Linked DNA regions of Arabidopsis thaliana. The protein of the gene in region 1 interacts with the protein of each later gene in a pairwise test. Each region holds a gene or a part of one and is shown in the gene's direction. Other genes may lie near its edges. The genes, in order: AT1G05860 and AT5G44090.

Region 1 (14,410 bases):
TACCACTCCTTTATGATATAGGGTGCCGGGACCTATATGTTTAGAATTGATAATGAGCGGGTCATAGACGCAACAAGGACAGGAAGCATTGCTCACCTTATCAATCATTCATGTGAGGTATGGTCAAGCAGTTTTGACGATTTGTTATTTAATTTACTTAGTATCTGCAATATCATCACATTACTTATGGATATGCTTCTGTACAGCCAAATTGCTATTCAAGAGTCATCAGTGTTAATGGTGATGAGCATATTATCATATTTGCAAAGAGAGATGTCGCAAAATGGGAGGAGCTGACCTATGATTATAGGTTTATCTTCGTGCCCTTTAGTTCTCGGGTGACTTTGAAATTCCATTATTACCTGATTCTTTATCTATAAATTTGCAGGTTCTTTTCAATTGATGAGCGCCTTGCATGTTACTGTGGTTTCCCAAGATGCCGGGGTGTTGTTAATGACACAGAAGCCGAAGAACGACAGGCAAATATTCATGCTTCTCGCTGTGAGTTAAAAGAGTGGACAGAGTCCTGAGAGGTAAGCTATATTTGTTAATATGTTAATTTGGGAAGAGTTTGTTCTTTGCAGCTACTGAAAGCTAGTTTCCAGGTTAGTAGATGTCTTATCTCCATTGAAGAAGATGACTTCTTTAACCTGTCTTGATATCTTCGCTAACGGCGTTATTTCATGGTGAGGAATGCATTGCAAATAGGATTCATTAGTCACAAAATAAAACTTTTATCTCAATGCAAGTTGTCTAATTTACTTGCAAAATCCTGCTGTTTACCATTGAATGGAAGCTCCTAACCATCTGTTTCGACTTGCATGTGCTTACTTGATCTTCACATCTGCCATTTCTACAGTCTGCACGAGATATTTGTGAGGACATCACACATTTGCGAATTCTCATGGTTCTGGCTAACTTTCCCCTCTACAGATGCAGATTAATCTCCCTGAACACATACTGTTACTCTCAATACCCTGACTTGAGATCGTTCATTCTATTCCAAGGTTTTGTAACAATCCATTTCTTGTACAGATACTAATTATTTCTTACTCAGTAAAGCTTTTTGTAACAAGAGGCACATTACAATCTTTGGGTAAATGAAAAAAGCAGAATTCTCTTATTTCTCCAGACTCAAATGAGCCTTAATCTACTGTTTCACTTATTGATCAGGTTCTTTATACACGATGGTTCCACTAATATCCATATCATCATGCTACCAAACATTTGATATCAGAATGTGATTAGAGATTTAACAGAGGATGATGTTGTTGAGTCAGAAATATGAGGTGCATTGTTTTTTTCAGTCTGACACAACATGTGAAGGAAGAAGTCCTTACCACTCCTTTAAGTCCTCTGTAGTCTAGCTTTATTCCCACCTTTTTTTGGTTATCTGTGCATGTGACCATTATTGGTCGTATCCCTTGACCCATTCCCTCACACGCACATACACAAACGCACGTGTATACATGTTTTTGTGTCACTGTGTCTGTGTATATATTACTCAGCTCTGGAGTATGATGCTTCTGTAGTTCAGTTTACTTGTGTCCAAATGTCAAAACCTCTCAAGTTCCTTCTTTGGTCATCTCTTGCTCTCTTGCTTCTTCAAATAGGTAAATTCAAAGCTTAAAAACTTTTCATTGTAATTTTACATATAGACATGTGATTGGGGTTGTATGTATAGGTTCTGGGGCAATATGTGAGGGCAAAAGCAGCGAACCGGCGGTGAGGCAGACGCAGGTGAAGTGGAGAGAAGGAAAGAAGTTCAGAGTCGAGGTAATGAACAAATGTCCCATGTGTCCAATCATCAACCTTCGTCTGAAATGTCAAGGATTTCCTCAGTCGCTTGTGGACCCCACATTCCTCCGTGTTCTCTCCTCTTCCGCCGGAAACTGTGTGGTTAACGATGGCTTGCCACTGAGTCCAATGCAGACTCTCTCCTTCAACTACTCCAACACACACCAGTTTGCTCTGCGACCTCTTTCTTGGTCTTTTCAGTGCGAGTAAATCAATAAATTAGTTAAATCAATAAAATGGTCATCATCAATCTGCTGGGTTTCTTCGTATTATCTATATATCAGACCTTTTTCTTTACCATTTTAGCAAAATGTTGAATCTATGTACAAAAGATAAACTATAAGGAGTCTCTAAAGGAGGAAAAGAGTCATGAGGAGAAGTAAAGAAAATAGAAGACACATAGAGGTATCCAAAGGTAATGCAGAAGAGATAAAATGTGAGCCTACTAGATGAACTGTTCCTGTGCCTTCGTCTTTTACTTTTATGCTTGATGAGCCTGCAAAGACAGATAAAACAAAGATAAAATAGTTTTAAATTCGAAATCTTTCCCACTCACAATGAGACATGAATCGTTTGAGTGTATGAATATAGCACTTACAGTTGTATTCAGTCCACCCAATGAGCTGATTTTCGAGATCGTAGAGAACAAGCTTGTTTGAAAGCACCAAATCTGCAAAAGAGAATGTAAGATATTGTGGGCATTGGATTAAATCACACGGGGTTCATTGTCACTGACAGCAAGAGAACACAATGGGCTTTTTCCACAAACTGAATTGCATGCAATTAAACTTTGTCACTAAGTCATGCTTTTGTATAATGTGACTGCAAACTATGTATCCAATTTAAGGTACCTCCCAAAAGTGTCATGTTTCTCCTATCTCTGGATTGCATTGCGCTATTTTGCCAACCAATGCACCACATTCCTTCCTGTGAAATTTTGGGGTTATGAGTTTGGTATGCAATGGATAGAAAGATTGAGGGTAAAATCAGGTTGCAACAAGAATATTACAAGAGCCAAAAATCAACCATAAAGGCTGAAGATGCTTACATGAGGGAACAGATAGTCATGAGGATAAACCCTGAGGAAAACCGAGTTCTCGAAATGGAAAGTGACATTCGGAAACCCCTCATCAACTCTGCAGCAAAGGTAAGATGTGGTTTTCACAAGAAAACTATTGTGTGATACGTTGACATCACAATGAGCAGTTGCGTACATGCAAACCATCCACAATGATGTCCAACGGTATTCTTGGCAGATGCCTATTTGAAAATTTTGTAGTGTAAATCATTAAATGAAGACGTATAACTAACCTGCCAGAGTACTGAAAGCATTTATAATCTTTATCCACTATGTGAACTTTTAGAGCAGGCTCCTGCGAGGTTATCTAATAAAAGAACCAGATTTATGAGACCCTGCAGTTCAATTTCTTAAAGGAACTGGATATTTTCTTGAACTGTACCTTCTTCACCAATGGTTCATAGATTATCTCTGGAAGATAGGCCAAGGTTGTACCACTGTCAATTATCGCTCCTTTTCTATCTCCAGGTTGAAATAAATCGGCTGGGATAGTTAGAAACTCCTGACCAACTTGAACTGCTGTCATATTGACATTGTAATGTGGTCTGCAATTGAAAACAAAAAAAGTCGGTTAACAAAAAAGAGCTAGAGAAAGAACACATTCACCATTTCAGACGAAGCTTTCATGTAAAGTACACTAATGTTATTTTCTTTCTCTAAATAAGAACTGCAAGAAGTTTCACTCTACTATTTGTAACATAGTGGCTGCCTCTACCAGTATATCATTGAGCTTCTTATGATTGTATTTGAAGTATAAAAGGAAAAACATTATAAAAGGAAAACAATGTTGACGTACTGATTGGGTACCAATGGTGTCATGTTTACTTTTGGTTGCACAACACGTCCAATAGCAAATATACCACCTCCATTTCTTCCATCTAAGCAATGAGCAAATATCTTTTTCACTCTCCCTGATGAGGCCAGCTGGGAAATCATGGAAGAATTAGCTTTCCCAAATCCAAGTATTCCGTCAAGTGCTTCTTCATTAGAAGAGTCTAGATCTCCTGACTGCCTAGCACCACACCTTCAAGATCATATAAAAACATTAAAAAAATGGAAGAGGCAATGAGGAATGACGGATTAAGCTTCCTTGCCGTAGGACTGATAAAACGCTAATGGACAACTATTCTACTTTGTTTACAGATCTCTGAGGGATTTTCTACGTGACCAGCAATTCTCAGGCCAGGATACAAAACTAAAATATAAATATTGTATAAATATGATATTTCTAAATTACTAAGTTTTTCAACGTGTAGAAGCATATGAAATTAGATGAAATGAGCTGTGCTCGGGAAGATACCTTAGCAAACTAATCAACTGTCACAATCAAAAGCACAACATATTCAGTAAAGGTCTATTTGTGATATTCACTATATGGTGGAGAACCTATTCCCATGTTACTTTCAAAATAAAAAAGAATAGATACCAGTATGCACTTCAACGAATCTCAAGATTTTTTTCTTTAAGCAATTAAGTTTTATCTGTTTGGCTTTTGTATGCACTTTGAAAACTGTTGGTCAATTAAGCTTTGTAACAGCGTTTTCCATTTCTTATTTTTTCTGTTCACTTAACAAAATAAAACCTTGACCACAAGGAAGGTGAAATTGTGTTCTTTTCAGTGAGAAGTGAGAACACAAAGAAGATCTAAGAAAGCCGCAAGAACCATGTTGCAGCAGTTTACTAGTTTAAAGATAAGTCATGTAAAGCGAGGTTATTAAAAGGAAACATACCCAAAAATGACACTGCCATTAGCTGTTTGAGTCTTGAGATCACCAGCTACACTGTCATACTGCACAACATCTTTGACAAAATAACCAGCAGTAGAGCTACCATCTCCATATATCTCAAGATAAGGACAAGACATATTAGCTTTGCAGCCAGAGAGAGGACCACCACTAATCTGGTAGCAAAAATCATCATCACAAGAGACCAACTTTCCACTGTCTGATTCGTCAATGTTGTAGAGTGTAAGCTCAATCTGCATAGAGAAACAAAACCTCACCCATTGAGTTGGAGCAACGAAAGGCAAACGTAAATGAGACACAAAACAAAAAGCTTACACCGAGAGTGCTTCGTCTTGGACATTGTTTGCACTGGATGCAGTTAACCCACATAATATCACTCCCTGTGTCGACTTGAACATAATAGCTCTTAGCAGGTGTTCCAATTCCAATTTTTGCATAATAAAGCCTGAGATAAACAATGAAACAGAGAGATCACTGCAAGTTAACTCAAAAATCTCAGCTTTTTAGAGATTCCATAAATTCCTCTCAAAAGGCTCGAAATCAGCAGTGATCAGAGACGCTAAAGAAACAATAACAACTCTTTAGAGGAATCTGAAACTGACCCGGGGATATCAGGGCGACCAGTTCCACCAAGGGGTAGATCGATTCCAGCGAGAATTGTGAGCTGACGCCGGTCATCGTGCTCCTTTAAGGCGGTCAAGGACCCTTGAAGCCTTGGATAACGGTACTTTACATTGAACACTCCGGGATTACAAGAGACGGAAACAAGAGCAGTGAGAAACCAAATCAGCGTGAATCTTCCGCAGATGGGGAAAGATACGATTGATAAAGTCATCTTCTTTCTTCTTCCCACGTGCCTGATGTTTACAGCGTCAGTCGTCTCGGCGGAGAAGTTGAAAGAAACCACCGGACCGGCGGCGACGACGACGACGACGAGGAAGTTCAGAAATTACAGAGTTTGTTTGGTCACTTCTTCCACCAATTCCCGTATTTTATTATTTTTTATTTCCAGCGTGGACTTTTCTTTTTCTTTCGACCCATTAATTCGATATTTTTATGGTTTCATTCAGGTAAATTTATTACATGTAAACTTAGGTGTTACTGACGCTGTTACAACTCATATTTTACTGTTCAGTTATATTATCCTTTTTGTCGTTTCAACTTTCAATTGTAACAAAATTATAAATCATAGGAATTTGTTTCCTTAATTTAAGTATTAGGTTATGAGTTTAAGACTAAAAACCATGTGAACAAATTTATAACAAACGAATAGAAACAAATATCATTCGCAAACCACATTTATGTTTCCTTGCTCTTTCTCTATTTTACACACATTCTTCCAATACAATAATTAAATATGGTTTTACATACAGAAAAATATAAAATGTAATGTTGTTTGCATTATAAGTTCTAGAGGGACAAAAACACACTTCTTCTTTTTTTACCACAAGCAATTTCACTTATTACGTAACATTAAGCAAGAGAGACTTGAGAGCAACGGCGATATATCATAAGACTTACGAAGAGGAAGAGGAAGGTACAGTTGAAGGGTTGAAAGGTTTCTGTTCTGCGCAGCTGAGCTCATCGTTTGGTCCCGCGTCTTCTCTTCCAATACCCATGAGGTCAAGGAAGTATAAGTAGTGTGAGATTATGTTGTTCATTGGATCAATGGAACCTTGACCACATGTGTACTCTCCGTAGAGGACGTTCATGGTGCTGCCAAAAGTCGGGCCACGCTTGGACAAAGTGTCGTTCTTTGTAGGTTTCCAGTTTCCGACAAAGATGTCGTGAGCTGAGGGCTGAGCTCTCTTGATTGGAGTCATCCATCTCCAGATTGCAGCTTGGAATGCAAGTGTCGCGTTTTGCTCAATGTACTCAGGGTGGTTCAAGAGATCAGCTTTCAGGGCTTCCCCAGCTGCTCCGTAGTTGAAGTTCCTTCAAATAACACACAGGTAAAAATACCTTCAGTATGGACGAATGCAAATTGTTTGACACAGTTTTTATCTAGAGCTTCAAAGTAGAAGAGAAATGTGTACCAGTAAATGGGTAAGGCACCGCGTCCGTAGTATTCAGCTCCAGGGCTGCAGGGGTACTTGAATTTCCAGGACTCGTCACAGTAGGATTGCATTGGGCTCATTTCCCTGTTGTAGCACAGACCCCAAGCTAAAGGCCCTCCTGTTGCAACTCCATAGCCACCTATAAGACATCACAGTAACACTCATATGCAGCTTCTTACAACATAGAAACCACCAACTGCAACTTAGGGCATATCCATTTTCATGATTCTGAATGTCGAGTTTGATCAGATTAATATAATGGTATAGCTATGGAGGTAAGCTTAAAGCATCCTTTTTTCTATTCATAGTTAGATGGTCAACTATGTAGAAAGAGGACTAAAATGAAGGAAAACTTACAGGACGTTTTGCTGGCTACATGACCGAGAAAGGCAGCCATTTCTTTCTGTCCCATGAGCTTTCCTCCAGTGGTACCAAAACCAAGAGGCTCAAAGAGGGCAGCAGCAGTAATGAAAGACTGGTAGTCCCAGAAACCAACAGCATGAGCAATGGGAGTGTTCCTTTTGGAAAAGAGTTGCTCAAACTGATAAACCTGAAAGTAATCTGATATCGTCTGGTTACAGCAGTATTTAGACCACCAGCTGCATTCCCATCCTTGCGTGCACACCTTATTTCCCCTCACTTTCTTCACTTTAATCGTTTTGTCCTCTCCATTGGCAACCAAGGCCAGAAATGATACAGCCAGCAGAACCAAAATCACGATTGAACCACTCCTGATTGTCACCATAGCTTACAACTATGGAACAAATACCAGCTACAAGCTGCAAACATCAACAAAAAAACAAATTTAGAAACATCCATTAATCCCAAGTAAGCATCTGAACATTACTATAAAGAAAACAGAACACAAATTACTAACAATACAGATCTACCTTATACAATAGGCACTTAATGCCAAAAAGCTGATTAGAAACAACAAAGGAAGAATTAAACCAAAAACATGGAACTCTCTAAGTTCTTAAGTGAAAAAACTAAGAAAAATTGTTAGATTGACCAATATTATACCAACTTGGAGAGATTGATGTATAAGATATGCGAAGACTTCAAATGTGAGATCACGAATTCAATAACCAAGCAACGAAACAAAATTCTCTAGTCAAGATTTAGCTAAATCGTTACCAAAATTAGGCATAAGTACTTGTGGAAAAAATGCTTACCCGCAATGCAGATCAGCTATAGATCCAGAGAGAGATCGAGAAAACTAGCTTGTGAATTCAACCGACAAAAATTACCCTTTTTGCTTCGTTGCCGAGAAAATAAGGAAGAGATTCTTGGGAAAGAGAGGAGGAAGAAGAAACACTAAACTAAAGCGGGTGACGGATCAGCAGTCTCTATCAACCGTTGGATTAGAGAACAATCAACGGTGAAGATTGCGTTTGGTGTAATGTATGTGTCGGTTAGACAAGACAGCCTGGTTCGTGTTGTGGGCCCTACTTTACTGAAGTGGAGCCTTCCACCGACAGCCGCACACCAGCAGAACCTGATTTAAACCAATCGGTCTACTTCGATTTTTTTCATGGGTTTTCGGTTCATGTTATGGCCCATTGGGCTTTTAAGTAAGGCCTTTCTATAAATGTCAATTTTGCCAGAGTTTCCTGTCTCGTCCTTGTCTTTCCTCTAGCCACTCTTCGCCACTCTCTTTCTCTCTCCCTTGTTTTCCAACAGTAACAATGGCGTCAGCTTCCAAGCAAAACCCTTCTTCTTCCAAACCTCCTAGGCATCCATCTCCGATCATTGCTTCAACCCCCTCGAAATCCGGTGTATTGGAGGAATCCCAATTTCGAAACCCTAATAACCCGTCGACGTCATCGAATTCACCGATTTCGATGGCGGTGGAGGATCAGATCCTGGGAAATTCCAATCACCTCACTCGCCCGGAGCTTCTCCGACGCAGATCGCACAACCTGAAGCAGCTCTCTAGATGCTACAGAGACCATTACTGGGCTCTAATGGAGGATCTCAAGGCACAACATAGATATTATAGCTGGAACTATGGTGTTAGTCCTTTCAAAGATGAGAATTATCACCAAAACAAGAGACGTAAGGTTGAAGGACAAACTGGGGATGAAATTGAAGGTAGCGGAGATAATGATAATAACAACAACGATGGCGTTAAGGCTGGTAATTGTGTTGCTTGTGGTAGTGGATGCAAATCTAAGGCCATGGCACTCACCAATTACTGTCAGCTTCATATCCTCATGGATAAAAAGCAGAAGCTTTATACGTCTTGTACTTACGTCAATAAAAGGTTCGTTCACAATTTCGAGTTTCATAGTTTTTTCCTTTTGATTCGCATCATATTCTCTCGCATTAGGAAATAATAGGTGCTTCAATAAATGCTAATCTGTTTTTATGATTCTGTGAAATTTCAGTTCCTTGATACTGGTTTTGGTTTTGTTTCGTGGTGAGGAATTGAAAGTACTTTGCATTGTTTGTATCGTAATGGGCGAAGATGATAGGAGTTAGGATTGTCTGCATGATTATATCATTATGAAGTTCTTACTGTGATGGTGGTCTAGCTATTATGGTAAATTGGTGATAAAAATGGAGCAGATGTGAGATGTCTGTGTCATCTGTGCTTTGATATCCCTGATTGGAAAGAACTTAAATTTTTGCATTGCGGAGTGCAATGAGCATGTGATAATTATATAATCAGCTTTATTCTAACTCTATGTGGTCACATTGTTCATGCAGAGCTCAGTCGAAAGCAATAACTTGTCCAAAACCAACTCTTGCATCGACTGTTCCTGCCCTCTGTAATGTGCACTTCCAGAAAGCCCAAAAGGATGTTGCTCGAGCTTTGAAGGATGCTGGTCATAATGTTTCTTCAGCAAGCAGGCCTCCCCCGAAACTCCATGACATAGTAGCTGCATTTGTGCATCATATTCAAGCAAAAAGAAAAGATCCACGAAAAGAGGGCAAATTGAAAAGCTTAGTAAAAGAAGAACTTACAAGCTAAATCAAACAGAGTGAGCAGAAGCTGTTTGTTTCCACAATTGTGCAAAAATGGAAGGTAAGATGACTGGCTTTCTATCATCACTAGTGAGAAAGACAGGTACAGGATCGTGTTTGACTGGTGATAGATAGGGTAGTCATCTACACAGAATGTAGTAGATCGTGTTCACACAGAATGTGTTGGTAGGAATTTTTTTTTGTTGTTGTTAAGCTTAGCAAAGCAAAGATGCTTTTAGCATGACTAGCTTCTAGGATGTGTCTCATGGTTTTCGTTTTATTTTTCGTGATTGGAGCTAACAGTTATTTATTTCCATTAAGCTGAGTAGACATGGATTTCAACAAACAACATACTGTGTGATCGTTCGTAATTATCTATTGTTGTCTTGTTGAATGTGGATTAGCTAGACTTGAACCCAATACCTTTGTTTAAGCATTGAAGCAAGCCACGTTTATAATATATAGGTTTGTAATCTCTATTCAAGCAGTTAATCTACCTGCATACCATTTGACCGACCCTGCTTCTGCAATGAATTGACAGATTTAGCTGTGAGTGCCTTTACAAGGTTACAACTTACAAGGAGCTTCAATCAAGCGAGGAGCAACATTGACACAATGGTTTAATTAAGCTGTTTAGCTTGAAATGAGGATATATTTGGAATGTATTCTCTAGGTTCTTTAGTAGATTTCCGAAGTCCTAACAGTTTACTTCTAATTCCTGTGGCAAACTTGATTCAGGCAAACTTAATTCAGGCAAACTTAATTCCTGTGGCAAACTTCTAATTCCTAACAGTTTATTTGGAATGTATTCTCTAGGTTCTTTAGTAGGTTCTTTAGCAATTTCACACTTAATGTTTTAGCAACTGGTAGCTTTCATGGTTGTGTGAAAAACCGATGTTTTTTTGTGGTTCCTGCTGAGACCTTTGTCTACTCCTTAATCTAAATATTTATGCTTTTGCAGTGTTCTCTGAATTTAAGACTTGATTTATTGCAAACTGATTCATATGTTTCCGATTTTTGTGAGCAATGCGTACTCGGAAAGGGCTTGGAATTGCGCGAGTATATAAAAAATCATACATTTTAGAGCAACAACTCTTAAATGTCACGAGTTTGATGTTCAGAATTTCATTGATTAGGTTCTCTCAAGACTTATTGTTGAGTGGAGTCGTTAACATGTATTACAGAACAGTCACCAGAAACTGTTTAAGCTTATATTTACACTCACTCTTAAATTCCAGAAAATAACTCATCTTCAGTCGCCATATAGAGCATCTAGGACTGTAATCAGCCATCATCTTTTAGTTGATGAAGAACGAAAAAGATGGAAACACATAATATTTGGCGTCTATCATCTTTCTCTTCGTCCCACTCGATTCTTCATGAAATGATTAAGGAGCATCACCAAATTAGGTTATCTAGCCACAAGGTTTGTAGATTCAACACACACTCACAAAAATGGAATGAGTTAAAGACTGTCAGAGGACAGTAGTAATGTCAGTACCTTCATAAAGAGGGTTGTAGATTTAGTTACCAAGTTAAGATTAGTTACCTCAGCAAGTGGAGGTCCATAACCAGTTAGTGATAGCTCTCATAAACACAAAGTCTCTCAGCACTGCACAAGGACAACAATCTCCAGCTTTCATATCTCACATGTAATAAGCTTTACACAGTAGCTTAACACATAATCCGTTCACAGAATGGTATAATTGCATCACACTCCGTTAATACTTAATAGACACAGTTAGATTAGTTACCTCAGCGGAATCATGACCAGTTAAGTGAAGTGAATGCTCTCACTACTGCATAAGGAGAAGAATCGAGCTATTAAGATGTCAGATGTTAAAGCTGTAGATGCTGAGACCAGCAGGGAAATGAGAAAGAATTTGATGGTTTTATTCAAGTGATATCTTTTATTTCCGTTCATAAAATCATTAGACTAGATACTACTAACTACTAGTACACATACATGGAATTAAGTGAGAACCATTGTTGATATTCAGTTCAATTTTAGACCTTCCAATGCCACTTTCTGAAATCTCCTCCTCCGCTACCAATGCTTGAGATATTGCTCATTCGCTAGTATTCCTGGTTCAGACGTGACAATGATTCATTCAGCTGCACAATTGGACAGTACAGGCAACGGCTTGTGCCCAGTATTTGAGCCTAGCTTTCACATCATCCGGATTATCACCTGTAACCAACAACAAAATTGAAAACATTCAGACTTCATATCCCAATTTTCCAATTATTGCCATCTCAATTCTCAAAGTCAGATTTGTGGCCTCTGTAACGAAAACGGTATATTCCACATTCTTGTTTAACACTAAAGCAACAAACTTTGAACTAGGATTGAACTTAGATTACCGAATCAATCGATGGAAAGATGAGATATTTACCGGGACTAGAGATCTTCCAATTGGCAATCGGAGTGGCGGTGACCAGTGGAGGCGACGGACAATCTTCCACCGACGAAGTTTCCGGTGATTTATTTTGCTTATCGTCTAAGAACTTCTGGCTCATTGAATAGCAAAGCTCCAAAGCAGGTAAAGTGTTGCAGAGCTCAGGGATCTCGTCGTAGCTAAAACCAAACCCTAGATCTAAACAACCTCTAAGATCTTCGAGGTCGTCATCCGTCAAACTCTTGGATCTCGTCAGATCGTCCTTTTGATCATCCACCGAGGAAGAAGAAGCAGTCTCAACGTAACCTTCCAGTAACACTTGGCTCTTCTTCCTCTCTAGCTTCTTCCGACTACCTTCGCCGGCGACAAATGATCTGCGGCTGGAGATCTCAACCCAGGCTTCGTTGATTCCGGATTCATCGACGGATTCAAAGGCATTGGCAGATGTTTGCCATGGATCTGATGATTTGCAGCGAACACAACCCATGACACTCACTCTCCTCTAGCTCTCTGTGTGTTTCTCTCTGTTTTTCTTATTATATGAACTTTGTGTTGTGTCGGGAGAAATACATAAGAGTCGATTTGTTTACTTATAAAAGCCGCGATGTATGATGATGATGATGTGATGGGTTGGCATCTTCTCGCGTGACTAATGTCGTTTTAAAATTAGTGAGCCCCGACAATTAGGGTATAATTGTCAAAAAGTAAATATGTATCTTGAAATTAAGTAGATGACTAAAATTGGTAATGTGATCCATCAAAGGCACCAAATACTAATCTTTTAACAAAACTTAATTTTAAACTCAAATTTTATTTTAAAGTTTTATTTAATAGTAGAAGTTAACATGTTAGGGAAAAAATCAGAAACAATTAAATGAACAGTACAATTGTTCAGAGAAAATTATGTTATAGTCATCTATAGTCACAGGGGACTGCATGTATATGATGATATGATGTTATAACAGATATAATCATAGAACTGTCATAAACTGTAGATGATAATTAACCTTTATGAATGTGAAACACTGTCATTGTAACGACTTGGATGTGACAAAGATATACACAGTTGGTCTTGCAGCTGGGGACACGTGGTGGATAAGGAGTGGAGAGATGGGAGATACGAATGAATATGGGCCAACAAAAAGCCACGTTGTCGCTCAATAATTTAAGTGGGAGGAGAAGATTACAAAGTCACCATCATTATTCTTCTTCACCTCACAATTATTCATCTACATTATATATGGTCACCATGAGGTCCATGACCCATTGGAAATACATATGACCACATTTTTATACATTATTTCCCTTTTCCATGCATATTTATAAATGAAATGTTCTTAGAAGAATAATATTGCTTATTTTCTTTGTTATATATGTTGGGTTTTTTACCAAAGATTGCCATGCAAGGCATATATATTTATTTGTTTATTCTGGATAAACTAACAACACTAATATTTCGTATGCTTGAAATCAGACACATAATCAACTTTTAGGTATTCATTCATGGTATTATTCATATGTACAAAATCAACGTAGATCGAGAAGATCAGAAAATCAATAGTGATGATGAGATCAACAAATGCAAGGGTGGCATATTCGAATCATTTTATTTGGAAATGACCACATTATTAAAGATGTTCGTATTTCTTATCGGTGCTTACTAGTAGTATCACCATTATTCAGTTTACAAGTCACCATATATAATTATTAATTAACAAAAAGAGACCCCTTTTATGTTTTCTTATAAAAAGCGTATAATTGATTTTGCACAATTTGCACTCGTACGTGGTGTGAGGCTGGGAGGCGCGAGCCATCACGGAGATCGCACTGGTAGGATCCACATGATCTAACGCTTTAGGCTTTTTTTTCTTCATTTAGCCCCTTAAAGGTTTACTTACACACGTCACTTTTGATACACCAAACAAAGATAAAACAATTCATAAAGACACAACACAGTATACAACTAAATAAATACTAACATTATTATGTTTATGTGAAAGAATGGAGTACTTGTGTTGTTATTTCGAAGAATCAACATGGTGAGACGAGTCCGATAATCTAATGTGTTTTACCCATTTGTTTTAATGATCTCTAGTTGTAGATTCCGTGAGTCATAGTGGACGATCGGTTCAATTTTACACGGACTCAGCTTGAGAGTTGAGATGCTGGAGTTGACGTTAACTTATCTATTATTATATTGTCATAAAAATTACATTTTGGTTTACTTGAGATGAGATGTAGTTTCCTTGATTTTTCCTTTTCTTGCATCTCTATTCATATTCTCTCTGTGAGACTCTTTCTTACAAGGAAGCTAACGGAGACCATATAATATTCCCAATTGCATGCATGATTAAAAAATAAGTA
Region 2 (17,691 bases), on another chromosome or scaffold:
ACCCGAAGAAGCAAGGAGGGTCAAGTTCAACACGCTCGAGACCACTTTGACTCACAGCAGTGGCCCAGCTAGCTACGGAAGGCCAAGGGTGGCTGCAGCTTAAGAGCTTAAAACTGCAGCTTAACAATGAACCTCGAGTACTGTAAAAGGAAGTTAAACAGTACGTAGTAATAATAATAATGTACGAAAATGTGACTAGTTTTGTTGAGGTTTACCTGTAAAATGCAACTCCTTTTCTGAATAAAATCTTTTCAATTTTCGATCAAGTTAATACAAATCTAGGTCTAAATTAGGTTCTTAATCATAGAGACTAGTTCTGATTTTTATGATTTAATACATTTGAATCATCATATTATTTTATATAATAATCCAATATTAACATTAGACAAGTCGCCAAAATATTGTCATGCTTAACAAATTTATATTACCTCATTTTCTTTATCTATTTATAATACATCAAATGCTTTAATTTTAATTTCAAATATCTAATTTAATCCGTGCATAATTTTTTCAATAAAATAACAGTGTTTTTATCTAATTAATAAATAAATAATTTGTGGGACCTTGTAAACATATTTACCATATATTATTATTTAAATTAATAATTAGATTTATTAATGAAAACTGACGTAACGCCGTCGTTTTAATTCTTTGTCGGTGAGCAACATAGAGTGACGTGGCAGCTATCTGCTGGTTAAACGTATTAGCGGAAGACTAAAGTATGTAAATCTAATGGACAGAAAAGTACATAACGTGGCCGAAATCTAATGGCTAATAAGGTCTTTGTTTAAAACGGAACGTATTTAAAGGCCAACAGATTAAGCAGAGGAGTTATACTTTACTACTTACTAATCTCTCCCTCTCTCTATCTGACTCTTTGATCGGAAAAAATGGCGGAGAAAAATGCGAGCGCGGTGGACGGTGCAATTAGGGTTAGTGGAATGCAGTTTTCTTACGATGTTCAAGATCCTATTTTCTTCGATTTTAATCTCGATCTTCCCGCTGGATCTCGTTGCCTCTTGGTTGGTGCCAATGGATCTGGTAAAAATTATTCGAATCATTTCGATTTTGTGTGTGTTTCTGTTTCTGTGAATCTGAAGTAGATCGATTTGGGACCTTGACGAATATAGAATGTATTATGTGATTTCGTGTGATTCTGTTTTGGTAGTGTTGGAATTCGGTTTAATTCGTCGAATTCGACTATATGTATAGAGTTTGAGTAAGTAAGATCGATTTTTCGACTATATGTATCATGTTAATACTCGAATTTGATTGATTCTGCTGAGAAGGTGATTGTCGTTGCGCGTTTCATTGACAGGGAAAACTACGTTATTGAAGATTCTTGCTGGAAAACATATGGTTGGAGGAAAGAATGTTGTACAAGTGCTTGATCGCTCAGCATTTCATGATACAGAGCTTGTTTGTAGTGGTGATTTGTCTTACCTAGGAGGATCATGGAGTAAAACTGCTGGTTCTGCTGTGAGTACTGAGATCTCAAAGTTAATACACTGCAAGAGTTTTGATGTGAGAACGTTTTGTTTCTAATTCTTTAAAATTCTTTAGGGTGATATTCCACTCCAAGGAGACTTCTCAGCAGAACATATGATATTTGGAGGTGAGATTCTCTGATCCTAGTATGAGTTTTTAGTGAATTGTTTCGTTGTGCTTATACTCTGAATATGTTTTGTGTTTAGTTGAAGGGATTGATCCTTTCAGAAGAGAGAAGTTGATTGATCTTCTTGATATCAATCTTCAATGGCGTATGCATAAGGTTTCTGATGGGCAGAGACGTCGAGTGCAAATATGTATGGGTCTATTACATCCGTTCAAGGTAGTATAAACAACAATCAACTCTTCATTGTGGTCTCTGTTTTTTCTTTGATCATATCTGATACTTAAATTGTAATGATCACAGGTATTACTACTGGATGAAGTTACTGTTGACCTCGACGTTGTTGCTAGGATGGATTTGTTGGAGTTCTTTAAAGAAGAATGTGAACAGGTAAGCCATTCACTAACCCCCCCTCATCTTATGTTTAGAAATATCAAATGCTGATTTTCATGTTTTATATTTGAGTAGAGAGGAGCTACAATTGTATATGCAACTCATATTTTCGACGGGCTCGAGACATGGGCTAGTCATTTGGCTTACATTAATGGAGGAGAGCTGAAACTCTCGGCCAAGTTAGATGAGATCAAGGATCTCAAAACCTCACCAAATCTGCTATCTGTTGTTGAAGCTTGGCTCCGGTCTGAAACCAAAGTTGAGAAAAAGACGAAGAAGAAACCTGTTGTTACCTCTCCATTTATGTCGTCTAGACAAATGGCATATTACCGATGAATCTTAACTTGTTTATGAGATCAGTAAGAATAAGAGCACTGCTTCTACAGATGCCTTTGTTTTCTATGGTACTTCATTGTTTAGAATCCGATAACTTTTATCACACATGAAAGAATTTCTGTAAAACCACGTTTTTAATTAAATTACTATTTTGCCAATATTTAAGAGCTTATATTCAAAATAGGCATTTTAAATAAAGTTATTTCAAAATAGGTATTTTAGACAGTTGAATGTAACAGTATCGATTTATTGCTTCAATTGGGACAATTTTGTCCTTGTCTTCTTTTCTCTTCTTCTTCATCGAACATAGTTGCAGAATCTGATCAAATCGATTTCTTCTTAATTTTTCAAGCAAACTTAATTTTTTTTTTTAATTACACAATATTAAACCTTAAGATAGTATATAGGGAACCCAATCAAAAAATTTTATAGATTTTATGGAATTTCAGTTCTGATTTTGTGTATATATGCATGTATATACATGTGTATTTGTGTAATTATGCCACTGAACAACAACCCATAAATTATAATTGAATTCTAAATCAACGCAAAGGCATCTCGATTCCTCTTTAAACTTCACTTAATTGGCTTTTTGTTTGAGAAATCATAAAATTTGGAATCAGACATCGCCATGGAATATCAAAATTGTTTTTGATACCGACATTTCTCTATTCATCATCTTCATCGGCCAGATATTCCATTTTGATCAGTTTCTGAATTCCAATTTCAACGCTGCATTAACTTAATAAACTATTATAACCAAACGTTGAGGATTCAACGATTGAAACCGTTCACATGTCTCGTCCTTTGCGAGTGAGTAAATAGAACGTGTGGAGAAGATGACACTAGTGAATGAGGGAGAAAGATGACTTTTCACGTAGTGATAGTACCTGTTTTTGAATGCTGGGTCAAAAGTGCCTAAAAGCAAATATATTTATAAAACAAATGCCTTATTTGAAATTAACTCAATATTTAACTGTTTATGTCCAAATTTTGGTTTGGAGCGGATCCTTCTTAACACTCGCATGGCAAAATATCCGATCGAATCGAACCCAACCTAAACCCGAAGTTAAACCGAAATACCTACTCATAGTAGAGAAATCTAAATAAATACTAAATCTTAACGTTTTACTTTTATTTTTAATAAACTATATAAAAATAGAAAAGCATGTACATGTTTTGCCTTTTGCGTTTATAGTTTTTCTTTTTCAACACAAAAATTGCTGTAACACAATAAAAAATATTAAAATACTAGTGTAAAAACAATTTTTGCAAAATTTAACAACTGTTAGAGCATGTCACGCTTAACCTCTAAATATCAAAAACCAAAAAACCACCATATTAACTTTTGTTCCCCTCTTCACACACCTTTTTTTGTTTGTTTCCTACACAAAACCTTAATCTGGATATTTTTGTTAATTTATCCGACTGTAAAAATAATTAAAACCTAACTTATCAATAAATAAAAAAAAATCTTTTCTAAAGGAAACCCAAAACAAAAAAAACACAAAGGCACGACAAAAAAATGTCACAAATCTCCATTTCTTCTCGTCTCTCTTCGTATTAACCAATTTACCCAATATTTCGTGCCCAATTCTCGGGTCAAATCCATCTAAAAGTTTGTGCTTTTCGTATTGGGATTAGTTCGATTTCTAAATCTGATTTAGGGTTTTAATCAATTTGGCAATCGGGTCTCTTGCGATGAAGTTTTCGGAGATTTATTGATTTCATGGTGGGTTTTTGTTTTCGAAGGTCGTTGATGAAGAATTGACTTCTGGAATCTCAATCTCTGAAGGGTTTTTCGATGTTAAATCCGTGAATCTGAGTTTTAAATGCTGAATTGGAAAACAGATCCAGGGGCTAATTAACGAAAAAAGGAGGTTTCTTTTTGATATCGATTTTTGGGAATTTTGAGGTTTGAGAGAGATCGGAGAAGATGGATCTCGTGATCGGTGGGAAATTTAAGCTTGGGAAGAAAATTGGTAGTGGATCATTTGGAGAGCTTTATCTAGGTAACAAAGTAGACGATTTTTTTTTTTTTTTTTTTTTGTAAATTTTGTAGATTTCTTCAATTTTACATGTTGTTAATGTTGAGGGATTTTTGCAGGTGTAAATGTCCAAACAGGAGAAGAAGTTGCTGTCAAGCTGGTAAGAATTTACCACATTTATCAACAACATTAATCTCTCTATGCCAAACAAAGAAATGTTCTTTTTGTTCAGCTGCAACTTTCATGTGATGTTGTTTGTATAATTCTTGTCACATGAAGGCTATGAGAAATTTGTTATTAAAGACGCCCTTGTTGTTGTGTGCTTTGGATTTGCTTCTTTACTCTTTTTTTAACCCTCCGTTTGTTTGATGCCAATTATTAGGAAAATGTGAAGACCAAACATCCACAACTTCATTATGAGTCAAAGTTGTATATGCTGCTTCAAGGAGGATGTAAGTGTCACTTACAAACTAGCATTATCATTATAGTAGAACTTTCTCGATTCGCGATGATTCATTGCATATGCTTCTTTGCAAATAACTAAAACAGTTTTTGCTTTGTTTTGTTTTGAAGCTGGTATTCCGAACATCAAGTGGTTTGGAGTTGAAGGTGACTACAGCGTAATGGTTATTGACCTTCTAGGTCCTAGTCTTGAAGACTTGTTTAACTACTGCAACAGAAAGTTAACATTGAAAACTGTTCTCATGCTTGCCGACCAATTAGTGAGTTTATGGATCTGCTAACTGGTTTCCAGCTCTTCTGTTTCACTGAATATATGAATTTGTTTGTAATGGAGGAGATTGTTTTATCTGTTTATGTTTCAGCTTAACAGGGTTGAGTTTATGCATACTCGAGGTTTCCTTCACCGTGATATAAAACCTGACAACTTTTTAATGGGCCTTGGACGCAAAGCAAATCAGGTGCAAAAACTTGTTCTTGGACATATTATGATTATACATTAAATGTAGTTGCGATGGCGGGTTCTGTCTCAAACTTCTGAGATAACTTATCTCTCTTTATATCTCAGGTGTATATCATTGATTTTGGACTAGGGAAGAAATACAGAGACCTTCAGACTCACAAGCACATTCCTTACAGGTAAGAATATGCTGTGTTCTCCCTTTTTCCTTTATCCTTACTCAAGGATCTGCATTTTTGCATCTTGATTTACGTGATCTCAATGGAAATTTCTAATATTTTGGCAGAGAAAACAAAAATCTTACTGGGACAGCTCGGTATGCAAGTGTTAACACTCACCTTGGAGTCGGTAAGAGTGTTGATCTGTGGAATTATATGTATTCATAAAAATTTTCCGTCAAATACTTAATTAGTTTTCGCTGATGTTTAAACAGAACAAAGTCGAAGGGATGATTTGGAATCACTTGGTTATGTTCTTATGTATTTTCTCAAAGGAAGGTTAGCGTCTACAGCTTCTCTACCTGAGTCTGTAAAATTCTGTATATTTTCTTGAACAGAGTTTAAACCATATGTTTTTTTGGGCTATCAGCTTACCTTGGCAGGGATTAAAAGCTGGGACAAAGAAGCAGAAGTATGACAGAATCAGCGAGAAAAAAGTGTCAACTCCTATAGAGGTTAGGTTACAACAACTTGACAAACCGAAAGGATTTTCATTTTGGCATTGGTAGGTAATCTAGCTTTTCTAACTGAGCTTGGAATGTTTCGATGTAGGTATTGTGTAAAAACCAACCGTCCGAGTTCGTTTCATACTTTCATTACTGCCGATCTTTACGGTTTGATGACAAACCTGATTACTCTTACCTCAAGAGGCTTTTCCGTGACTTGTTTATCCGAGAAGGTTCTTATCTTAACATCATTATTCCGAGAAATTTTATTCGCTTACTGTTTCAAGCCACTCTCATCTTATCTTTTTCATATTGTTGAAACTCTTACAGGTTATCAATTCGATTATGTATTTGACTGGACAGTCTTAAAGTATCCTCAAATCGGATCCAGCTCTGGTTCTAGTTCACGAACAAGGGTGATTATTAAAAATCTTATACTTGTGTTTTTACCCTCATGGTTTTTGAGTTTCTCTGTACTTACGTAAATGTAAATCTTTGGATTTTCCAGCATCATACAACAGCGAAACCCGGATTCAACGCAGATCCTATTGAAAGACAAGAGAGGATCCTAGGTAAAATTCTGCTTTTCCTACTTCTATTAAAAATCTCAAAACCATACACATCCATTCCTCACTCTAATTTCTACTCTTTTTTTATTTACCATTCGTGTAGGAAAGGAAACAACCCGATATAAAATCCCAGGTGCAGTGGAGGCATTCTCCAGAAGACACCCGACTACAACTTCTTCGCCTCGAGATCGTTCTAGATCAAGAAACTCAGACGACGGACCTTTCTCTAAGCAGACAGTAAAAATCTTACTCTTTACATACATTGTTGATCAGAACCGCTAAATAAGACAAAGACCTAACTGTGTTTGTTTTATTTGTGCAGCATGGAGACTCCGAAAGAGCAAACAGTTCCTCAAGATATAGAGCATCTTCTTCTAGGAAAGCCGTTGCTGCTTCAAGCTCCCGGCCAAGTTCTGCAGGTGGACCAAGCGAAAGCCGAACTTCAAGTCGTCTGGTTTCCTCAAGCGGTGGTGGTGGCAGCGGCAGTGGAAATGGCCGTCCCTCAACTAGCCAGAGAGTGCAAGCTGGATATGAATCCAAGACTCTGTCTTTCTCTCGTGCAACAGCGGCAAGAAACACTCGGGAAGATCAATTAAGAAGCTTCGAGCTTCTCTCTCTTCGGAAATAAAGGAAAATGATGGAGAGAGAGACAGCAAACTCCATGAAAACCCAAAGAAATTACCTCTGAAGAAAGATGAGAATCTTGGTTTGAGGGAATTCATATATTTGAACCTGATGAAATCCTCAGATCTTTTTACATGTAATTTCAGCTTCAGCTTGCAGAGATCTTTTTCACTCGTTTTGTTTATGTAATCGTGATATGTGTTAGACAAACATAACAATCAAAAATGTAGAGAGAGTTTCCATGTAAAAACGGTAAAATTTCTATCCGTATATTCGATTACTTCGAACCTATCTGTACTGGTACTGTAATAAACAAAACAATCAACTGCTCTTTGGTCTCTTTTAATGCTTCTGTTTTTTTGGGGCAGGCATACTCTGGTCAAATCATGTAAAAACGGTGAAATTTTGGCTTAATAGTAAAATTAGCTCATCTACTTAGTCAAATCATACTTTAGATGACTCCAATCTAAAACTCTTTATTTTTATTTTTTCCATACTTCAAATGTTTACTTATTCACTGATCGTATACTTGAATGGTTATAGTTAAACTCTTCACATTTTGTTAGCGCTCATCTTCGAATAAAGTGGCAAAACTGAATTTCATATTGAAGTTACACATATAAAATACATTCATTTTTAGATTCATATGATCTACTCCTACATACTTTTGCATTTCGACTAAAAAAGCAAGTGCTCCAATACAATTTTTGAGAAATGACAAATATTCATCATCATTCTTCAAAACTAGGTTTACACATGTGAAGTCACATTTTTATGACTTTAATGAATCAGTTGCAATCTTGATGATAACAGTCGAAACGTCATGAAGTTTAACAACCAAACAAACAATTTGATCGCTAATTTCTGCGATTTATTAATTGACTCGAGACTCAAATAAACATGATCGCAAAAACGGATAAAGAACGCTGGATTTGGTTGACTTTTTGGTCAACGTTGAGGACTAAAAGTGGAAAACAAAAATACCACCACCACCGCTAGTACTACTGCGTCTGAGACTGAGAGAGAGTATTAAAATCAAAATTAAATACTTTTTCCTTTTTAATTCATTTTCTCATCAATAACACAATCTCCCTGGAAAAATTCTCTACGACTTCCTCTCGTCGTCGAGCTTGTTATTGATCGGAGAGAGAGATCAGTGTTCTTTGGATCTTCCAATTTCTTCCACGTTTGTGCTTGAATTGCAGAAGAAGTTTTGTATAGGACTCTGTTTTGCTTGTTGATAGAATTTGGGAATCTAGGGTTTATCGAATCGTTTATTTTGGTTTTCGTTTAGTTTCTCTTCTTCGAGCTGGTGTTTCTCAACTAGTTAGAGAGTTTCTCGATTGGTCAGAGCTGCTTTTATTGAATTTTCTTTGGATTTCGTGCTTATAGATCTTTGAAAAGTCTGAGAATCCTGTTTTGGAGTTACTGCTTCAAGTTATTGGAAGAAATTAGGGTTTCGATCCAATTTTAGAATTGACTCAAGGAATTCCGATATTGGGGTTTTGTTGTAGTTCTGATTCTCAGTGAATAAGATAGAAGATAATCATGGAAATCGATGGTGGAAACGATGTTCAGATTTTGGATCCTGAGCTCTTGCAGCTTCCCGGTTTGTCTCCTGTATCACTTAAAGAAAATCCTCATATTGCTGAAGAACTCTTCTCCCAGTGGCTTTCACTTCCTGAAACTGGCCGATTGGTAATTTTATTCCCAAGCCTCTGGCTCAGTGGCTCCTTAGCGTCGTTTGGTTTCTTGTTCATTTAATAGTTGGCGCCTGTTTTATGTATATGCTGATACCTGTTCGTAAGTCCTTGTTGTGACTTTATCTGATTTCAAGTCAATTTCTGCAGAGCAAGATTCAACATGCTTATTGCTCTTACTGAATCCTCGGCTGTTGCATATTTAGTAGTTTTGTTTATTTCTTATAGATTTTACTTAGTGTTAGATAAAGAGTGCTTGAATAGCACATTTAGGGGTTATAATGACTTAGGTGATAATAGTACTGGGATATTACAAGGCTCTGCTAAACTTGAGAAGTGTTTGTATTTGTGTAGTACCAGATTTAACTTAAAGCTCCTGAGAATATGGTCCAGTGTTGTATGCCGATTGCCGACTCATGTTGGTGAAGAAACTTTTGGTGGTTGTTTTTCGTTTAAGGTTTTACGTGGTCCTCTTTTAACAGTTCATCTGTGTGATGTTTGTGCAGGTCAAGTCTTTAATTGATGATACTAAATCTAGTACCCCAGTCAGTGTATCCAAAAATTGTACTAGTCTCAATGTTGCTTGCGGGAGTGCATTGCCATCTGTTTTTCTGAACAGCGGCACTCCCCCACTATCCCCACGAGGCTCACCTGGGTCTCCCCGTTTCTCGAGGCAAAAGACAAGCCCTTCTCTACAGTCTCCTCTGAAATCAGTCAGGGAACCAAAGCGCCAACTCATTCCACAGGTTCGATTTTTTATCCAACTGCTCCTCATATGGATGTCTTACAAACAACATGAGAAGGCACTACCTTGCTTGACAGTTGACATCATGATTTGATTGTTTTATATATGCTCACGTAATTGTTGAAACTAGACTGTAATAGTTTTCTAAGTAGATGGAGAACCACGAGAACAAATACAATAGAAACTAAATTCTTCGTTCAAGTAGCATAGGTACAATTTTTTTTTTAACAAAACGATGACAACAAGTAAGTTTATTATGGTCATCCGTTTGACATCTTACATAGTTGAAGGGTTTAGCTAATATTGTTCAACATTCTTGTTTGACGCTTCTATGCCTTGATATGCTATGCAGTTTTACTTCCAACATGGACGTCCACCTGCGAAGGAACTAAGGGAGCAATGTATATCCATGGTTGATCAATTTTTTAGTAACTATATAGACGGACTTCATATGGATGGTGATGTTTAAATACAAGCTTTTTTACATCACAGTCCCGTTCTGTAATGAATAGACAAACAGTTGATCTTACAAACACATTCTTGCTATTGTTCAATTGCAGAATTCAAATCCATTACTAAAGAAGTCTGCAAGCTGCCTTCTTTTCTTTCCTCTGTACTATTTAGAAAGATAGACACGAGTGGCACCGGTATCGTTACAAGGTAAATCATTGTGTTCTTTCTTTTCATATGTAATTGTAGTTAAATGTATATATCCACTGGTATTCATATGTGTTTCATGTAATATAATAATAGATCACATTGGTCTGGATTTCCAGATGCACGCTCAGCTATTTGTTTCATAAATTGCTCACCCTTAAAAGAAATGGAATGTGGCATAGTAATTTTAATACCTGATTGTTATCTTTTTATTTATTTATGCCACTCGAATATAATTTCTTTTTACTTTCAATAAATTTAGTGTGCTCGATTTTATATATTGTTTAGAACATTTGTGATAAGTAATATTGAAGTTTCTACCCTGTAGATATTGTTTGGAATTGATACATCTTTAAATTAGCCAAATCATGAGTAATATCATAGAAATATACAGCAGCTGTAATCTTTCTGTTTAGCTAGTATCTTTTAAATACACCATATTTGGTTCCTGCAGGGATGCATTTATCAAGTATTGGGTTGATGGACATATGTTGGCAATGGACGTAGCCTCACAGATATATAATATTTTAAGGCAGCCAGGTTGCAAGTACCTTAGACAGGTCTCTTTGTTTTCTTTTCCCAGCTCTTCACTGCTGTTTTGATTTGTTTACCAATGATTATTGTCTCACTTGATTTCTTTAGTCCTGAAGGCTAATGTCTTCTTTTGGATTTGGGATAGGCTGACTTCAAACCAGTTCTTGATGAGCTTCTGACAACTCATCCCGGCTTGGAATTCCTGAGGAATACACCTGAGTTTCAAGAAAGATATGGTAAGAACTTGGTTTTTGATACATTGATGTTATGGTGTGAAATAGTTCTACCAGAATGTCTGTTTTCTACTAAGACGTTCGTACAATTTCTTTCCATATATATATGATCTTTCAAAACGCATTGACGAACTTGAAAGTGACATCTTTAGCTGGCTTGATTGGCCTAGGCAATAATTCTTCTAATTTTAATTCTATGTACTTGTTCATTATAATTACATTTTGAAAATTATGAGATGCTTCTTAAATATAGTATATTTTCAGGTGCTTACTGTTTTATACATCTATTGACTAATTCATAATTTTTCCCGTGCTTGTTTCATTCATCTCTGTGTTCTATTCCGTCAACCCAGCTGAGACCGTCATCTACAGAATATTTTACTACATAAACAGATCAGGTACTGGTTGCATTACTCTTAGAGAGCTGAAGCGTGGGAATCTTATTACTGCCATGCAACAAGTTGATGAAGAAGACGACATCAATAAAGTTATTAGGTGACTTTGTTTTCCTTTTCATTATTTCTTAAACAATACGTTAAAAAGATTAAGATTTTAGTTTTATTTGTATAATAAAGACCACTTTAAGTTGTTTAAGAATTCAAGCTCAGCAAGGTGTGTAGCATTGTGAGTAATATGGGTAGTGCATAGGTCTTCGAATTGTTTCTTAGACATAAGCACTACCCATAAAACTCATAAAGAGGAAGAAGTGTATTGGTAGTTCATATTGTGATACTGTGGCAAGACATCATGCATGATTTGACCATTCAATATGACCTTTTCTTTACTTTTCAGGTACTTCTCCTATGAGCATTTCTACGTGATATACTGCAGATTTTGGGAACTCGATGGCGACCATGATTTCCTTATTGATAAGGAAAATCTCATCAAATATGGTAATCATGCCCTTACCTACAGGATTGTCGACAGAATATTTTCACAGGTTGGCTCCAGTTGTCAAAATGTTAATGAACACTTTTCTCGAAACTTAATTGTTATCTTATGGAGTGTGTTTCCTTCTTTCTTAATTGAAATTACGGCTGTCTCTCACTCAGGTTCCTAGGAAATTTACAAGCAAAGTTGAGGGGAAGATGAGTTATGAAGATTTTGCATACTTTATTCTCGCTGAGGAGGATAAGTCATCTGAGCCTAGTCTTGAGTATTGGTACATGTCTCTTCCCCTCTTCTCTTTTTGTCTTTAGTGACTTCTCTTTAGCCATTTTGTCCTTTAGCTGCTTAGCTCACAGTATGTCACTATAAATGTATAACTTCTGAGCCAAAACTTGTGGCATATGTGGCCTTCTTGATGATACAAGCCTACCTGATATTTTGAACGCACTAAACATTTAGTAGTACTATTATTTCATGAACATAGGATACCCATCTTGAATCTAAGACATTTTCATTCATCATCTCATGAACCTAGAACATTTTCATTCATCATCTCATGAATCTAGAACATTTTCAGTTGAACCGCTGATATGAGGGCATACCTCGCTGGTATGCTCATCTATCTCCCATCGATGTTAAACACAGGTTCTTGGCAGTTTTTTGTTTTTCGTTTTCCCTTGATATTGATTAAAACCATCTTTGCAGGTTCAAGTGCATAGACCTAGATGGAGATGGGGTGATCACTCCCAACGAGATGCAGTTTTTCTACGAAGAGCAGCTGCATCGCATGGAATGTATAACCCAGGAACCTGTACTCTTTGAAGATATCCTATGTCAAATATTCGACATGATTAAACCAGAGGCAAAATTTCTTTTAAACCATAACATGGTCTTTTGATATTCCTGGCTTGTCTGTTCCTTTGCTCTTATTCGCATCATCAATTTGTCGAATGACTCTTTCAGAAGGAGAACTGCATCACACTCCAGGATCTGAAAGCATCCAAACTTTCTGGAAATATTTTCAATATACTCTTTAACCTGAACAAATTCATGGCGTTTGAAACCCGTGACCCTTTTCTCATTCGTCAGGTAAACATAGGTTTTCTATAGAGTTTTCCTCCCTTTGGTTATTCAATCCTTCGTTTAGCTGTTGAAACTGTTACTACTGAATATTTATTAATGCCATAAAAATTCGCAAAAATTATTATAAGTTCAGATAGTCACCTACTACTGCAGCCGGTTGTATCTGTTCCAGTCTCTGCTACTTCTAAACCAACTTTGTTTTCCATTTGACAGGAACGTGAGAATCCAACATTGACGGAATGGGACCGATTTGCTCAGAGAGAGTATGTGAGGTTGTCAATGGAGGAAGATGTGGAGGAAGTCTCGAATGGGAGTGCAGATGTTTGGGATGAACCACTCGAATCTCCATTTTAGTGACTCGTAAGAGGTACTTTGTTCAACACTGGTCAGCATCATGTTCCTTATGCATGTATGAAATAGCAAAATTGATGTGCTCAATGTTACAAGTTTGTATCTTTTGGTATATTAAACGTATTAAAAGCCGTTTTCGTTGCTTTTTTTACTAGTTTCTTGGGAAGAAGAGGGAGAAGTCAGATCTTCTTGGGTGGTAAGAGCCTCGGAAACAATTTTCAGACAGACAACCACGAAAGCCAGTCCATTCCACGGTTCCACCTAGAGATTGGCGACCAAGAGACTTATCCGATGCGTAAGCTTGTGTTAGTTTCATGAAATATTTGTCTTGCTTAGGTTTCTCAGGTTGGACCCTCTTTCAATCTTATGTATATTATTATATACGCCGCTTTATAGTGTTTTGTGGAACCAACAACAACGGTTTTATTTAAAATCGAAAGAACTATGTACAAAGACACTTTTTTTTGTGGGAAGAAATTTACAAACCTTGAAACTTGTTTTACATGATCATTGTTTTTGCTTTTTCCTCATTAGCAAATTTGTGCCTATGATATCAACTACAATTCTCGTATAAACTATAGAATATCAAATCAAATTATATACTATATATCAGTTTTTGATTGGTTTGAGCCGACATTGGTTATTTGTTTGTATAAGAATCATTAAAACTTTGTTTGTCAATATGATATTTTGGAAGATGTGTTAAAAAGTCGTGCATTTTGTTTTAACAAGCATGAACTCACTTTCTATGGCGGTTAAAAATAAGGGAATTTGACACGTTTAGACATTTTTAAAGAATTTTATTCTTTTTGAGGCACTTGTCACGGATGAAGCACTTTTCCAACTTTTTCATTAAACTTTTGACCAATTTATCTCTGAAAATTAAGAAATTATAATAAAAAAAAAAAGTTTCATCTTTCCACGTTCCTTTTTTTTTCTTCTTCTTCGTCGCTTCTTCTTTTCACTCTCTTTCTCTCTCTTCTCATTATTACTTTTTTTCTTTCCTTGCAAAATCAAACATTTGAGAGTTTGTCAAGATCGTGTAGCTTCTGTATTTTTCTTTACGGAGAAGCCTCTCTAAAGAAAACGGAGAATAAATAGTAAGGGTGTCGTTGCGACCACTTTTACATGAGATGTTGGTATCGTCGGCATCACTAGACTAAACGGCGATCACTTTTATAGTCGTTGCGACTCTTTTCATGAGAATGATGATGTTAGTCTCCAGTGGCGGATCTAGAACCATAATTAACCTGGGGCACAACATAGCTAACATATAAATTTTAAAAATAAAATACAATATAAACATTTTTTAAAAGACATGTAAATGGAAAAAGAAAAAATTGAAGTGTCCTTGTATTAGCATAATTCTTTCAAAGAGTTATAGAAAAAGATAAATTTGGAAAAATAAGTTAAATACTGAAAACATTTATTACTTGAAAATAGTAAAAATAATGAGTAATAACCAACTGATTAGAAAAAAAATCACTATAACATGGGGCACAACAAACGAATTCTTTCATCTCCAATACAAATTGCACATCAAACTTCAAAATTATCAAATCTTGCATGGGGCACGTGCCCCAGTACTCATACACTTGCGTCCGCCCCTGTTAGTCTCTACATACATTACACGCAAGTAAGTTAAAAAAAAATCAGTCGCCGATCGCTGACGTATCGATTACAAAAAGAACAGGGTCATTCCTTTTCAAAAGCCATAGAATTTGATAGCAAAAAACTTAGAGATAAGTTCAAGTAAACTGAGATAAAAGAGTAAAGAAGTACGTGTCCAGAAATCGCTGTCCACAGAGGTTTGTTCATTTAACTCTGTTAAGATGATCTTCTCGATTGGATTTTAAGGTTTTAAAATACAAGTCCAAGTTTGATTTTATATACAGAACATCTCAAGATATAACATAAATGATCACAAATTCAAGGGAAAAACGTGTCCAGAAGTCGTTGTCCACATAGGTATGTCCATTTAACTCTGTTAAGATGATTTTCTCGATTGGATTTTGAGATAAAAAGGTAAAGAAGAACGTGTCCAGAAATCGCTGTCCACAGAGGTCTGTTCATTTAGCTCTGTTAAGGTGATCTTCTCGATTGGATTTTGAGATAAAAAAGTAAAGAATAACGTGTCCAGAAATCGTTATCCACAGAGATCTGTTCATTTAACTCTGTTAAGATGATCTTCTCGATTTTGCTCCAAATTTTTAACATCTATATCTTAAACACAAACGTAGAAATCAGTCTAACATCTGTGAATGAAAATTAGTCTCAGATCTAAGCTAAAATCTCCATCAATTTCACAGAACCAGAACTAGCAACAAGGTTCTTCAATAAGTGAATCAACCATCAAAAAACTTATAAACCGTTTATGATGAACACATAAGATAACCAGATTTTCTGAATATATACAACTCAAATATAATCATGAATCAAATTCACAGAACATGGACTAAGCAACGAGTTCCATCAATTAGTGATTCGACAATTGCTATCAAATAATTCGAAGTCCACTGCGAGGCTTTAATCTCCAATTTAAGAGAATAATCTCGAATATGAAATTGGAGAAGAAAGACAAAGAATTAAAGAGCAAGTAATCAGATTAATTTTGCAACAAATAACAAAAACATAAAACAAAAACCAAACCGCAAATCCAATTCAATTATTCAACGAGTCATGTAACTAAATCAGCCAGATCGGGCAGATTCTCAAATTGATGGTTTGAAAAAATTCTCCTTCAAGTCAGATCAAAGCAGATGTGGAAAATTTAAAAAGCTGAATTTCAATCTCTCTTTCTCATAAAAGCGGATGATTTGTTGAAGATGGAAGAAGGAAAAAGGAAGAAATCTATTTTTTGGCTTGATTTTTGTTTATTTCTCGATAAAGTAAAAGAAAAAGAGAGAATAAATAAGAGAAGGAGAGAGATAAAACGATATGTGATTAGACGATAAATGAGTCAAATCATCTATTCAAAATGCTTTATCTTTAAAAAGTGTCTAACCATAAAAATGTTTTTTAAAAAATATCTTACAGTGTAATATTCTCTAAAAACAACTACCATCGAGTTAAAATAACGTCATTAAATTACCTTAACTAAATTCAAGTAATAATAGTCAAGTTATAATACATTAATGATCTTGAAATAATTGATGCAAGTTTGACAACTACAGTTTGATGACACGCGACAAAACTTCCCACGCGCTCCAAAAGTTAGAAAATCTTATCCATTTTGATTTTAACCTTATCCAATTTACCAAAATCAGCTCTTTTCTTTGGTAAGTCTAAAAATTAAAACTCACGTGCCACATATGCGCGTGGTATTTTAAAAAAGTAATAAAAGTCAATTAATTACAATTTGGGATAAATTACCAAAAGTTCTCAAAGGTTCTCAATTCGACACAAAAAGCCCTAATCTCTGCTTCTGTAAAGTTCAACATTTGGCGGAGTCAAAGAAACAGAGTGATTCTCTGATCCGATTCCGGCGAAAGAGGACGAAACAAACGGAACTTGTTCATCATCTTCTCCAGAAATGACGTCGTTTCAGGTGATGCGTTCTTCAAATTCGAGAAACTCGGATCTATCTCGTCGCATCTCTTCTGCTTCTACTTCTTCTTCGTCTATAAGACCTCAACAACAGTTCCGGCGAGATCTAACAAGTGTCGGTTACGGCGGAAGAAACGACGGATTATACAGTTCAAATTCGATGACGGTCGAAGGGATTTTACACGATACTTTCGCATCAGATCCACCAGCACCAACGGAATCTTCACTCTTAGATGCGTCGATAAATCTGATGGATGCTTCTCCAGCACCAATGGAGATAACAACAACGACGGCTTCTGATGTTGTGGATCACGGCGGAGGAACGGAGACGACGCGTGGTGGGAAGAGTGTTGATGAGATTTGGAGAGAGATGGTATCAGGAGAAGGTAAAGGGATGAAGGAAGAGACGTCGGAAGAGATAATGACGTTAGAGGATTTTCTAGCGAAAGCTGCGGTGGAAGACGAAACAGCGGTGACGGCGTCGGCGGAGGATTTGGATGTGAAGATTCCGGTGACGAATTACGGATTCGATCATTCTGCACCGCCGCATAATCCGTTTCAGATGATTGATAAAGTAGAAGGATCAATAGTTGCGTTTGGGAATGGTTTAGATGTTTACGGAGGAGGAGCTAGAGGGAAGAGAGCGAGAGTGATGGTTGAGCCATTGGATAAAGCAGCTGCACAGAGACAGAGAAGGATGATTAAGAATCGTGAATCTGCAGCTAGGTCTAGAGAGAGGAAACAAGCTTATCAAGTTGAGTTAGAAGCTTTGGCTGCGAAGCTTGAGGAAGAGAATGAGTTGCTTTCTAAGGAGATTGAAGATAAGAGGAAAGAGAGATACCAGAAGTT

Evidence for each region.
Region 2: the proteins of AT1G05860 (region 1) and AT5G44090 interact in a two-hybrid assay, tested with the Arabidopsis thaliana proteins (one large-scale study listed by BioGRID).

Annotation. Positions count from the first base shown.
Region 1 is NC_003070.9:1,760,696-1,775,105, forward strand, and holds AT1G05860 (INO80 complex subunit D-like protein), read left to right. Parts: upstream 1-8,290; 5' UTR 8,291-8,365; coding exon 8,366-8,943; intron 8,944-9,067; coding exon of another isoform or gene 9,068-9,161; exon of another isoform or gene 9,162-9,264; intron 9,265-9,389; coding exon 9,390-9,654; 3' UTR 9,655-9,708; exon of another isoform or gene 9,709-10,188; 3' UTR 10,189-10,591; downstream 10,592-14,410. Other genes in the region: ATX2 (trithorax-like protein 2), read left to right, coding at 22-117, 207-310, 389-530; AT1G05835 (PHD finger protein), read left to right, coding at 1,553-1,613, 1,685-2,007; AT1G05840 (Eukaryotic aspartyl protease family protein), read right to left, coding at 2,148-2,293, 2,396-2,467, 2,649-2,724, 2,846-2,933, 3,109-3,182, 3,258-3,420, 3,672-3,899, 4,606-4,853 and 2 more; POM1 (Chitinase family protein), read right to left, coding at 6,138-6,555, 6,657-6,816, 7,035-7,422; AT1G05870 (hypothetical protein (DUF1685)), read right to left, coding at 11,759-11,838, 12,044-12,533.
Region 2 is NC_003076.8:17,738,872-17,756,562, reverse strand, and holds AT5G44090 (Calcium-binding EF-hand family protein), read left to right. Parts: upstream 1-8,037; 5' UTR 8,038-8,653; coding exon of another isoform or gene 8,654-8,803; 5' UTR 8,804-8,968; coding exon 8,969-9,223; intron 9,224-9,311; coding exon 9,312-9,551; intron 9,552-9,902; coding exon 9,903-10,008; intron 10,009-10,110; coding exon 10,111-10,210; intron 10,211-10,661; coding exon 10,662-10,767; intron 10,768-10,886; coding exon 10,887-10,977; intron 10,978-11,327; coding exon 11,328-11,469; intron 11,470-11,766; coding exon 11,767-11,914; intron 11,915-12,026; coding exon 12,027-12,136; intron 12,137-12,567; coding exon 12,568-12,724; intron 12,725-12,825; coding exon 12,826-12,951; intron 12,952-13,158; coding exon 13,159-13,299; 3' UTR 13,300-13,312; intron 13,313-13,451; 3' UTR 13,452-13,797; downstream 13,798-17,691. Other genes in the region: CRA1 (RmlC-like cupins superfamily protein), read left to right, coding at 1-103; ABCI21 (P-loop containing nucleoside triphosphate hydrolases superfamily protein), read left to right, coding at 891-1,041, 1,319-1,479, 1,564-1,615, 1,695-1,831, 1,916-2,002, 2,081-2,341; ckl7 (casein kinase I-like 7), read left to right, coding at 4,278-4,353, 4,449-4,489, 4,712-4,781, 4,903-5,051, 5,154-5,249, 5,357-5,427, 5,535-5,596, 5,682-5,745 and 6 more; AT5G44080 (Basic-leucine zipper (bZIP) transcription factor family protein), read left to right, coding at 16,829-17,691.